3 linked regions of the Notamacropus eugenii genome follow. Each later gene encodes a partner of the first gene's protein in a complex. Links are inferred from orthologs where the notes say so. Each region holds a gene or a part of one and is shown in the gene's direction. Other genes may lie near its edges. The genes, in order: TIMM21, SMIM20 and TIMM17A.

The links.
Region 2: TIMM21 (region 1) and SMIM20 share a complex: the UniProt entries of both Homo sapiens proteins name them as parts of the MITRAC (mitochondrial translation regulation assembly intermediate of cytochrome c oxidase complex) complex. The link is inferred for Notamacropus eugenii from reciprocal best matches to the Homo sapiens genes TIMM21 and SMIM20.
Region 3: TIMM21 (region 1) and TIMM17A share a complex: the UniProt entries of both Homo sapiens proteins name them as parts of the TIM23 complex. The link is inferred for Notamacropus eugenii from reciprocal best matches to the Homo sapiens genes TIMM21 and TIMM17A.

Annotation. Positions count from the first base shown.
Region 1 is NC_092875.1:209,648,211-209,651,959, reverse strand, and holds the start of TIMM21 (mitochondrial import inner membrane translocase subunit Tim21), read left to right. Parts: upstream 1-855; coding exon 856-1,162; intron 1,163-3,749. UniProt on the Homo sapiens protein: Participates in the translocation of transit peptide-containing proteins across the mitochondrial inner membrane.
Region 2 is NC_092877.1:78,809,195-78,812,943, forward strand, and holds the start of SMIM20 (small integral membrane protein 20), read left to right. Parts: upstream 1-1,498; 5' UTR 1,499-1,986; coding exon 1,987-2,095; intron 2,096-3,749.
Region 3 is NC_092873.1:438,441,302-438,445,050, reverse strand, and holds the start of TIMM17A (mitochondrial import inner membrane translocase subunit Tim17-A), read left to right. Parts: upstream 1-1,025; 5' UTR 1,026-1,114; coding exon 1,115-1,140; intron 1,141-3,749. UniProt on the Homo sapiens protein: Essential component of the TIM23 complex, a complex that mediates the translocation of transit peptide-containing proteins across the mitochondrial inner membrane.

The DNA of each region.
Region 1 (3,749 bases):
AAGCGCTCGTGAAGGGTAACAACTCATACTAACGTCGATACCAAGTATTAACAGAAAGCTTTACCGCTGATGAATCTGCGATTGATTTGTGAAGCTTATTATCTTTATTTTACGAAAGAAGTACGAGAACCCAAAGACCTAAGTACTTTTCCCATAATTACAGAAAAAAAAATCAGTGAATCCGCAGGAATTAAAATGAAGCCAATTCAATTGACACAAACTTTTGGATTGAGGGTACTGGGAGATTTGCCCTTTATGGTTATTAAATATCCACATAACTCTTAATTTTGCAAGAGGTCTGCATAATTAAACTGCAGATAAAAGGAAAAGAAAATGTGAAGCTTGCCAACAATTTTTAAAGCATAGCCCGTTCTAATAACTACGTGCATCCCGTGCTACCTTGCAATAAGAGCCTGAGAGGTGGCGAGGGAGTTCCTTGGAGCTCCGCACGCATTGCATTGTGGAATTTGTAGTCCACTTTTTCTTTCCTTCGGCGGGCAAGTCTATCCATCCGAACGTCTGCAAACTACTCATCCCAGGGATCCTCGATATTTTCCAGGAAACTTTGGAAATACAATGGCGGGGGGCTATATGAATGTCAGCGTGCCGCGGGTAAAAGTTGTCGTTTCTTTTTGAGTAAAAGGAGGGCCGTCAAGGAAAGCAGGTAGAAGTTTCATTTTTCCAGGGATATCTTCACTTGAATTAGAAGTCGCTGCGGCTCCCGTCTCTATATGCACCCCGCGTTCCTGCTTGCGGCTCCGGGGGTCACCGCAGACCGCGGCGGGCTGTGTGCGCGCCCGTGCCAAGGGTGGCCGGCGGCAGGGTCCGGCCGCGGAAGCCCCTTGTCCGAGCGGGATGTTGGCGGCTTTCCTTCGAGCTGCCCAGGGCGCGGAGAAGCTGCGCCGCCCCCCCGGGAAGCGGCTGCTGCCGCTGCAGCTGGCCCCCTCTCACAGAGCCCGTCTTAGGACGTGGCCATGTTTGGGGTGGGGGCTCCTGCAGCAGAGGGAGGCTGTGCTGCAGCCCGGACGCGTCCTGAGGGCCCCTCCGAGAGGCGTCTGGACGCAGGGCAGCAAGCCCCCGAGAGCGGAAGAGGACGGCGGCAAACAGGTGTCTGTGCCGAAAAGTCGGAGGGAAGAGCCCGCCCTGTCCGCTGCCCAGAGAGGTAATGGTCAGCGCGCGGCTTGTGCTCGTAAATCAGAAATGACGTGTGAGTAAGGAAAGAAGGGAGGACCTGGCCCGGAGCTGGGGTGTGAAGGCCGCAGGAGTCCCTGACGGCAGCCTGGACTCTCCGCCAGCAAGTTCGGGCCCTGCGCGCGTGGAATAGGATCGAATCCTACTGAGTTACGGCCTCGTCCTTGGGTTACCTTGGTCAGGTCCCTCCCGCTCTCCAAGGCCCGCTCTCCTCTCTAAAGAGGGAGTTTTAAACTCTTGTGAGTTAGGAACCCTTTGGCAGCCTTTGGACCCATTCTCAGAATGATAGGTACATAGAATTACAAAGGAAACCATTGTATCGAAGCAAAGCCCTCCCCTCCAAGTGCTGGCACCCCGGAAATCTCTCCACAGACCAGACCACAAAGTTGCAAAGTTCTTTTTCATTTCTAATTATATAGGATCAGAATCTGCTCGATTACACCTGGAAAAAAATAATCAGGAGGAAGGGAGCTATCACTTAGAGAGTTTTAGTATTTATTGGGAAAAAACTTACTAGAACTCAACTCAAAAAAAGAAAGAAAAATATATTCCCGTTTAATTTCAGTGTGATTGTTTTAGTCTTACTCAAGAAGTATTTAGTAGCCCCTTCAGGGAGCCCAATAGTGGACTATGTTCTGTGGTTGTACAAAAGCAGCTCTTCCCTGCCTCTAAAGTGCTCCCTATTTGGGAAGCAGGATTCACATCATAAAATATACAGGGTGAGAAAATAAAGAGCAGTCATGGCCCTGAAAATAAGATTATAATAAGGCATTAATTATGCCACAGATAAAAGGGAGAGAGTAGGGTCTAAGTGAGGTTTTACAGAGAAAGTTGGACTTGAACTGGGTCTCAGAGAGTAAGTACAATATGGCTATGACCTAACACGCGGCTTTGCAAGTAGTAAATAACGTGAGTGGGTTGCCCTATGTTGGAGAGACACTCCTAATATAGTGCAGGAGCTATGGGTTTGGAGTTGGAGGGCCTCGGTTTGACTCTGGACTCTGCCCCAGCTCTACATCTGTATTGTGAAGTATTATTCATTGAAAGATTAAGGAAAAGGGCATTATCTAAACCAGGAGAATTAGCATCCATTAGAGTCTTAGTTGACCCAAAAGAGAACAAATGATTTACTTTGGGGAGTAAGGTCACAGATGGTGCATGTATATTTGTTCCTTTACATTATTTTCTTTTGTTGAAAATCCAAATATTGAACATGGACAGAGCTCACTGAACCTTTCTCCACTTCTGAAACTTTGTTGGGAGGTTGAGTGACAACCTTAGGTGTGTGGTGAACAATACATCTAAATCCTGATTTAGATGTATGAGTTACCTTTAACAAAATTGGTATTCGAACTATCTCATCTCTTTTAAGAACCTGTGTTCCAGACTATGAGAGAGAAGTATATGGTCCTAATTATTTTTTTAAGAAGGAACTAATCATTCACAAATTTGTTTATGGATACGTCAGTATATATTAGTTTTCAATATCAAATGTTCCTCAAAGTTAAATTATATTATGCTATACTTTTGCTTCTAGAAGTAGCCTAGACAAATTCAAGAAATGTATTTAATCCATTCGTGAAACTTTCTTCAGTTTTCATAAATGATCCTGTTTGTAAGAAGTATAATCAATATTTTTATCTGTGTTGAGAAAGATACATGGAAAGTATAGGGCATTCCCCACATCTGTTCAGTTTACAAATCAGTTGACCTGCCCAAATTCCCTTTCCAATTTCCATTCTTACTTACTGAAATGTGTCCCTGACCTACCCAGTGGGGGTGGCATTACTAGACAAACTAAGTTTTTGAAGCCAAGACGTTATTTCAGTCTTAAACAAATTACCAAAGTCATTTTTTTCTGGCCCCCTTTGCATAATTCATGCAGTGTTGTATTCTTATAGTAGTGCACAGTGGTTTACAGTTCACAAAACTCTGGGCAGAACACAGTAGCAGTTATGAGAACTGATGAAAGAAGAATTTTATTTGTACGTAGAAAATGTATGGAGATTTGGCCATTTGCCTGACAACGTGGTGTCTTATCAGTTTTAAATAAAGCACTTTGGAGACTAACTATTTTTTGAAAACCATCAACTAGAAGAATTTTCTTTAGTGCTGGTTTCTACACATGTAACCCCAGATATTTGGGCCCACTTGAAGCTGTGGGCTTGCAGGTTTCAACCATGACAACTATCTTTTATTTTCACCCACTTCTAATTGAAATTTAGCATTTCCCTTCCATTATGTAAAAACATTCTTCTGAGAAGGGTCTGTAGGCATCACTAGACATAGATAAATACGTTAAAAGTCCCTGGCCTTTAAACTGTAGTCTTTAAAACTATAGTTCTTTAAATCCTAGTTGGGAAAACACCATTTAAAACACCAACCCCATGTTTTTGACTCCCTAGTAGTTGTTCATTTGCTTTCAGTCATGTCTGACTCTTCATGACTCCTTTTGGGGTTTTCTTGGCAAAGATGCTGTAACGGTTTGCCATTTCCTTCTCTGGCCCGTTTTACAAATGAGGAGCTGAGACAAACAAGCTGAAGTGACTTGCTCAGGA
Region 2 (3,749 bases), on another chromosome or scaffold:
ATATCATTCTTAGAGGTTATCAAAGTACTTCAGCAGAATGTTTGATTCTCTTGGGATGTCAGCTATTGATTATTTAGTGGAGGAAAAATGGATGAATGAAACATTTATTAAGTACTTACTATTTGCTTTACACTGTGCTAAGAGCTAGAGGTATAAATGGAAAAAGGAAAACAGCCTTTGCTCTCAAGGAGCTCACATTCTGAGGGAGATAATACTTATGGAAGGTTTCAGTTGCAATTCAGATGGAAAAGTTTAATGATCCTTACAGTACAGTGGCAAAGCAGACAGGAATGCCTCTTGTTAAAAGAAAACAGCATTTACACCATTGAAATCATTCTGGTGTTTGATGTTGACCATCAGAACTTTGACAGTGCCAAGGACTTTGGTGACAAAAACTTTCTTTTCTGGGTCTTCCGTAGATGTGGCTGTAACACCTGTCAGTACCGATATAACTCCCTTACTTCCAAAAATATGTCTATTCATCTACAAAGATGTCACATTTCAGAGCTATGCAAAGGTCTAAAGGCTGTGTGATTCTGAATGCCCCATCTACTTCTTTTTAGGCAGTTCTCAGCAGGGGCAGAACGAGACCACAGAAGGCTGAGCTCGGGTCACTGCTTTCTTCTGTTTCATGGGTTGCTCTGGTCCAAGAATTCGTTATCTGATGGCCAGCCTCCCAGCCGCTGATGAGCGTCCCTCCATGTAGCTGGGCTGATCCTTGGAAAGTGGCATCACCCGCTGTTCCCGGACGGTGTCAAAGCCTTTTCTGCCACCGCTGGCAGTCTTTCATCACCGAGGGCACCTCAGGACAGCAGTAACACACTGGAATGAGATTCCATGTACGTGTAGATGGGGATGTACCTCCCACACACGCACACACACACATGTATGTATACGTACATGAGGAGGTATCGTACATTTCCCCATAAAAGCCTCACCGCGGTGTAGAGGGCAAGCCGGGTTCTTGAAGGTTAAGCTTCTTTACAAACTCAGTCCTCCCGAGCCAGGCACAGAGCGAGCCCACGCTGCCCTGGGGCTGGTCTAAGGACGATCAGAGAAGTCTTCACTAGGCTGGACTTGGAGAGACTGTCTGCCAAGGCGTTCCAAAACGGCGCTCGTGCCTATTAAAGGATCTCCGCAATGTGTGTATATTTATGTCATTATGTATTTTACACATAACACACGTTTCCCATTGTCAACTAACACACACTCAACCAACCTCTAAGCATTTATTAAGCGCCCATTACGTGCCGGGGACACAGAAAGAGGCAAAAGCCGGGCCCTGCCTCCAAGGACCTCACAAACCCAGCGAGGGGCAACATCAGTGGGCAAGGGGCCGAGGCCGGAGGGGGTGAGCGAACAAAGGGAATCCCTTTAGACGGGTTGTAACCCGACAGGGGGGCCTAGGAGCCTGCACAAACTTGGGCACGAGGCGGGGCGAAGGCGGGGGCGGGGCCTGGTCACGTGTCTCCGGTCCCCACCGCTTCGAATCGTTCCTCTTCCACAGCCGGGGCTTGGAGGGCCTTCGGCCGTGGAGTGTTTCGACCGCAGGGCAGAGGCTTGGGCTGGAATCCCGCCCGGGCGCCTCCGCGGAGGTCCCCGCCGATTTAGCTTCGGGGAGAGCGCCGGCTCAGCTGATGAGGCCCCCCCACTCCCTCATTCCCCAGATGGGAGGTCACGTGACTCGCCCAAGGCCGCCCAGGCTTCACACCCCCTTCCTCGGACCCCAAGTGCCCCAGGTCTGTGAGATGGGAGCCAGGGGGCAGGAGGGGAAGCGGGGAGCACGGTCTGCCCCACTATCTTCCCACCTCCCTTCTTCCTTGCCCCTCCCTGACACTCCTCCCCCTCTGGACGCGCTCCCCGCCCCTCGCTCCGGAAGTGAAAGTCTCTTCCCGCCCCCACTTCCGTGGGCGCCTCGCGTGTGCGGCGAGCGCGGCCCGGGGTTTCTGGGTCAGTGTCTTGTGCCGGACCTCCCGAGCTCGGGTCATGTCTCGCAACCTGCGCACGACGATGATTTTCGGCGGCTTCGCCTTGCTCTTGGGCGCCGCCTTCTACCCCATCTATTTCCGGCCCCTGATGCGGACCGAGGAGTACAGTGAGTGCGACCTCTGACCTCCCCTTTGGGGCTCGGGCACACCCCCAGGGACCCCTCTCTTCCCGTCGCCCCGCCCCCCATGCCGGTTCCTCTTTGTGTTCTCCTTTCCCCGCATTCTGGGGTCGCTCTCTCTGCCCCCCCCTCCCCCGTGCCTCCATGCTGTCCGCCGCCGGCGCCCCCCGCCCTGCATCCTGGCACGGTACATCGACGCCGCTGTCCTCCCGCCTGCCCCTCCCGCGTCCCGGTCCCGCTCTGTGACCTCTCTTCCTGCTGGCCCCCATCCTGCCCCTCGGTCCAGCCCCCGTGTTGGGGCCGCGTCTTGTCTCCCTGGACACGGGCTTCACGGCGCTGCCCCCGCGTGGTCGCCCTGGCCTCCCAGACCTTCTGTCGGCCTTTAGAGAAAGCCGGGGCCCCACGCTGGGCTCCCCAGGGGTGGGTTCAGCGGCCATCTTTACCCGACCTGTCACCTGAGTGTGTTCCATTTCTGGCCCCTTTTCCTCCTTTCCATCCACCACGATCAGTGGGACTTCAGTCTTTCGTTCCTTTGGCCGCCGTCCGCCCTGACCGAATGACCCAAGGGCCACGGCGGCTCTGCAACAAGAACCACGGAGCTGACACACGTTACCAAAACCACAGTGAGCTTTAACAATAAAATGAAACAAAGTAAAACCAAAACTAGATTCCACGGGTGCCGGAGACCCCACAGGAGACCCACTTTGGTGTGGGCGGATCTCGGTCCTTACACCAATGACTACGCAGTGAGCTGTGACCTTGACAGTGAGGCTAACGGCAACATTGTAACAACTGATGCACAGCAGGATTTCGTGACTGTGTCCAAGATGAGACCGCCTGCTGCTGGTGTGAGACAGTGCTGGGCAGAGTGAGCGCAAAGGATTGTTGTTATGCCAAGCTCAGGGCGCAGCTTGTTTGCTGGACCTGAGCTCTGGAAAACAGGGTGTCTCCTAATGTTAAAAAGAGAAGGGTGGTCTTGGCACCACTTTGTATCCCGAGAGTACTGATTTGTTTTTCTTTTTGCAATCAAATCCAATAATTTTAAAAGCTTAATCCTGATTAATTCAGTGATTATTAGAGTTGTGAAGACATTTGCATAAAGAGAATATTTTAAGCATCTATCCCTTTTGTCTTTAGGAAAATTGAATTATTGTCAAGCTGGAGGTTGGCCGTAGTTAACCAGAGGTGCTTGGAGATCCTAAATGAATAATGTCACAATTTGACTTCTGGAAATAAAGTGGTTAGACACACTTTTGTCTTTCTGTAGTACTGTGTAAGCATTAATTCATTAAACACGTAGTTAACTAAGCACCTGCATTTTGCTAGACGCAGACACACTGTGCTGAAGACCTTACAGTCTAATAGAGGTATATCGATAAGTTTGGCATGCCAGAAGGTTGTAAATGCAAAGTAGAGCTTAGGCATGCTATGAACAGTCATAGGAGAGAGATCACTTTAACTTGTGGGGATTGGGGATAGCTTTATTGGGGAGCTGTGCTTTCAAGGAAGGAGAGATTTTAACAGGACGATGGATTGGAAAAGTTGATTTCAAGCATTTGAGTTGTCACAAATAAAGGTACAGAAGTGGGAGACTGAATGGCAGAGAACACCTTGAACATGATTTGGGTTAGTTTGCCTGGTC
Region 3 (3,749 bases), on another chromosome or scaffold:
CCAAGTAGTGGTTGTTTGTCCTTCGTTTTTGAAGAAGACCATGACATCAGAGAAGTGATGACATGACTTGCCCTTGACTTTGAGTGAGGGAGGGCTGTGCAGGTCACCAGCCTCACTTCTCCTCCAGAGCCATCAGGATCCAGTTACCAGATATTCATCAGGATGACTGGAGATGGCCCAGGATGCAGTGGGGGACCTTGGTCTTTTCAGGTACTCACTTAGAGGAAGGGGCAGGATGAATGGTGGCATCCCTTATAAAGATCTCGGGGAGAAGAAACTCCCTTTATCAGGGCAGGTCTCTGCAAACTTAGAGCCACCCCCAGATCACACTGTCATAAGTACTTGGAGGTCTGGCAAAGCGGGTTATACCTAAGACCTCTTTGCAGTTGTCTCCCTCATGAGGCAGGGATCTTCCGGAGGATAGGGGTTATCTCCTGCCCCTCTTCGTATCCCCATCGCTTAGTACAGTGCCTGGTGCAAAGTAGGCACTTCACGTTTGTCGACTGACAGCAAACTAATGGATCCCAACAGCCACTATTATCGTCCCACTTCGGGTGAGCAGGCAGAGGTTACGTGACCTGCCAAGGGTCGCCCAGCCCTTCAGCGTCTGCAGCGTCTCGACTCTCCCTGCCTCCAGATTCGGTGCTCTAGGCAGAGCAGGTGTCCAGACTAGGACTCGAACCCAAGTCCTCTTGGTTTACAGGCCAAATGACCTCCAAGGTCCCTCCTGGGCTTTAATCGTATGACCCCATGAAACATTAATTCGTAAGCGTAATTCAGTATTTCAAAGCAAAATCTCTTTAGGGTTTAGGAAGCTTTCCAAGCGAAAATGAAACCAGCCGAAAGAGCCGAGGCAGAGCGAGGATTCGAACCCTTGACGCCAGCCTCGCCGGGGATGGACCAGCTCCTTTAGCAAATCCTCGAGAAGCCGCGCCCCCCACACCTCCCCGGTCTGCCTCTCCCATTGGCTATACGCATAAAGAGGCGAACCAATCCTCGTCCCATTAGCCGCCCGGCCCTCCCCCAGGACCCTCCCAGAGACCGGGGACACTTTGGGGAGAGCTCGGGAGCTCCGCCCTGTTTGCCCGGCATCCCCTTCGCCACCGTAGCCAAGATGGAGGAGTACGCTCGTGAGCCCTGGTGAGCCTCCCCGACCGCCGGTCTGCTCCTTCCGGCCCCGATTCCCTGCCTCTCGCCCCGGCCTCGCGAGGCGGCCTGCTCCGGGCGCTCGCGCCCCTGCCCACCAGGCCGGCTTCTGGCCCGGCAGGCCTCCCCGGCTTCCCTGGCCCGGCCTGGTCGTGACCTTGCGTTCGGCCCGGCGCCCCCTCCTCGGCCCCATCGCCGCCCCCGCCGCCTTGGGCTGCGCCCTGGCGGGATTCCGCGGGGTCATCGGGAGAAGGGGCCGAAGTCCGAGGCCCACAGCCAGGCCCCCTATCTCTGGCAGCGGGAGGGAAAGTACCTTGGCCTACCTTGCCCCAATTCCTGCGGCCCCATCCCCCACCTCGTCCCCAGGAGCGTGGGGGTGGGTGGGAAGGGTCCGCGAGGCCGCCTCGTATGGCCTTAGAGCGAAGTGTGTCTGAAATAACCTGGCCTTCTCGGGTAACTTGTGTGCTTAAAGACTCCTCCACCCAGGCTTCTAGATGAAGGGCTGCAGGTACCTCCCCACCCCGACCCACCATCCCCCTTGGGATGTTCAGTCCAACTCAATAAACGTTTATTAAGCGCCTTCTGTGTGCAGGCACTGTGCTAAACCTGGGGATACACAAAGAGGCGAAAGACGTCGCTACCTCCAAGGAGCTTACCATCTAATGTTCCATTTTTCAACAGCCCTTGTACATTAAGAAGAAAGTTGGGTAGGAGGGGTGATCCCAAGAGTCTGAGAAGAGGAAGCAACAATGTTCTCCGATTTGTAACAATGTTCATACAAAGAATCAGTCTTGTCATTTAAGTTAACTTAGCCTTTTGTCCTTGATAACTTATATTGTTAGGAGCTCAGAGCTCTAAATTCCCCTTGAAATACAGTGGTTATTTATAAGGTTATTAACCTTAGAGCCAGGTTCATGCAGTTTCTGAATGAAATCGCTTCAGGTGTAAGTTTTATAAGGCCTATCTTCTTGGGAAACATTTGCCTTCAGAAAGAGTACCTTTTGAGGGCCATCTGTGAGCAGGAAGTTGACATGGCTATCTCTACCACTCTTCCAACTCCCCTATTAACTTACTCTATTGGTTAATCTCCCTAGTTGAATTTTCATCTTTACCAAAATCTTCTTTCCTACAAACATGGTCAGAGACAGCTGGTAACATAGTGAATATAGAGGACTTGACCTAGAATCAGGAAGATCAGAGTTCAATTTTTACAAGACACTTATTAAATGGAAATACCTTACAGGGTTGTTGTGAAGATCAGATGAGATAATATAAAAAGTGCTTGGGACATCATAAATGCTTATTCCTTTTTCACTTTCCTCTGTTCTGGTAGGGAAAAAGCCTACCAACCTTCTGGTTTTTCAAGCTCCACTTTGCATATATTAGCTGCTTCCACTTTTTATTTCTTAATCCTTTTCAAACTGTCTTTCAATTTGACATTAACTCTGCTGTATACAAAGAATTGTACTGGGTGCTGGGGAGGTATAAAGAAGAAAAAGAGTCCTAGTCTCCAGAGATCTTTTCTGAATTCATGGAAGAAATATATGCAGATAAGTATGATATCTGGTAAGAATGAGATAATAGTAAAGGGAAGGTGTAGATAAACTTCGGTGAGTGGATCCAGAAACACTTCATGGGGGAGATGCTAACTGAACTGAATATTGAAGGTATAAAAAAAATTCCTTTGGGTTGAGATTGGGATGGGGTAGTCTTTTGCAGGCATGAACAGAAACAAAAGATTTAAAATTATCTAGGTGTGGGTAACTTGTAGATTGGTTAGAGAGTAGTTAGAATGTGGAATGCATGAATTTGATTAAAGCCAAAGTAAGACTGAAAAAGTAGGTTGTAACCGGATTGCAAAGGGTCATAAATACTGGAAGGAGCTTGTATTTCACATAAATAACAGGAAGCAACTGAAGATTTTTGAGAAGGGAAATGGCATGGTCAGTCTAAGTAGTGTATTATGAAGATTATTTTGGTCACTAAGTGAAAAGAATGAATTGAAGAGGAGAGGAGAAAGTCAGGGAAAACTTATAGGAAGCTATTTGAATAGGCCAGAAGGAAAGATCTAAACCAAAGTGGTAATAGTATCAGGGATGAAAAAGGTAGGTATGAAAGATAAACAAACTCCATTATTGTACTAAAACTTCACATCTCACAGGTCAGTATGGACCCCATAATCACCATTTCCGTTGGTCTCTTTTCAGTCTTTCTCCTCGTGATATCCCTTTGCCTTCTGTGTGTGGTAGTGAGAGAAAGCATTAACTGGGGAAATTAGGGGTGGCTTTTTATAGGGGGTGGCACTTGAACTTCTGAACTTTGAAAAGAGGTAAGGAGTTCTAAGAAGCAGAGATGAATAAGGAGAGCAAAATCATAGCTGGAGATGGAAAGGAGTTTCCTGTATGAGCAATCACACGTAGGCCAGTTTGACTGGAATATAGAATGCATAATGCGTTATCAGCCTGGAAAGATAGGCTGGAGTTGGATTGTGAAAGGCTTCATATGCCAAGTGGAAAATTTAGTTTTATCCTAGAGGTAGTGGAGTGTCTTGAGCAGGGAAGTGACTTGTGCTTTAAGAATACCACTTTGACATCTGTGAGCAG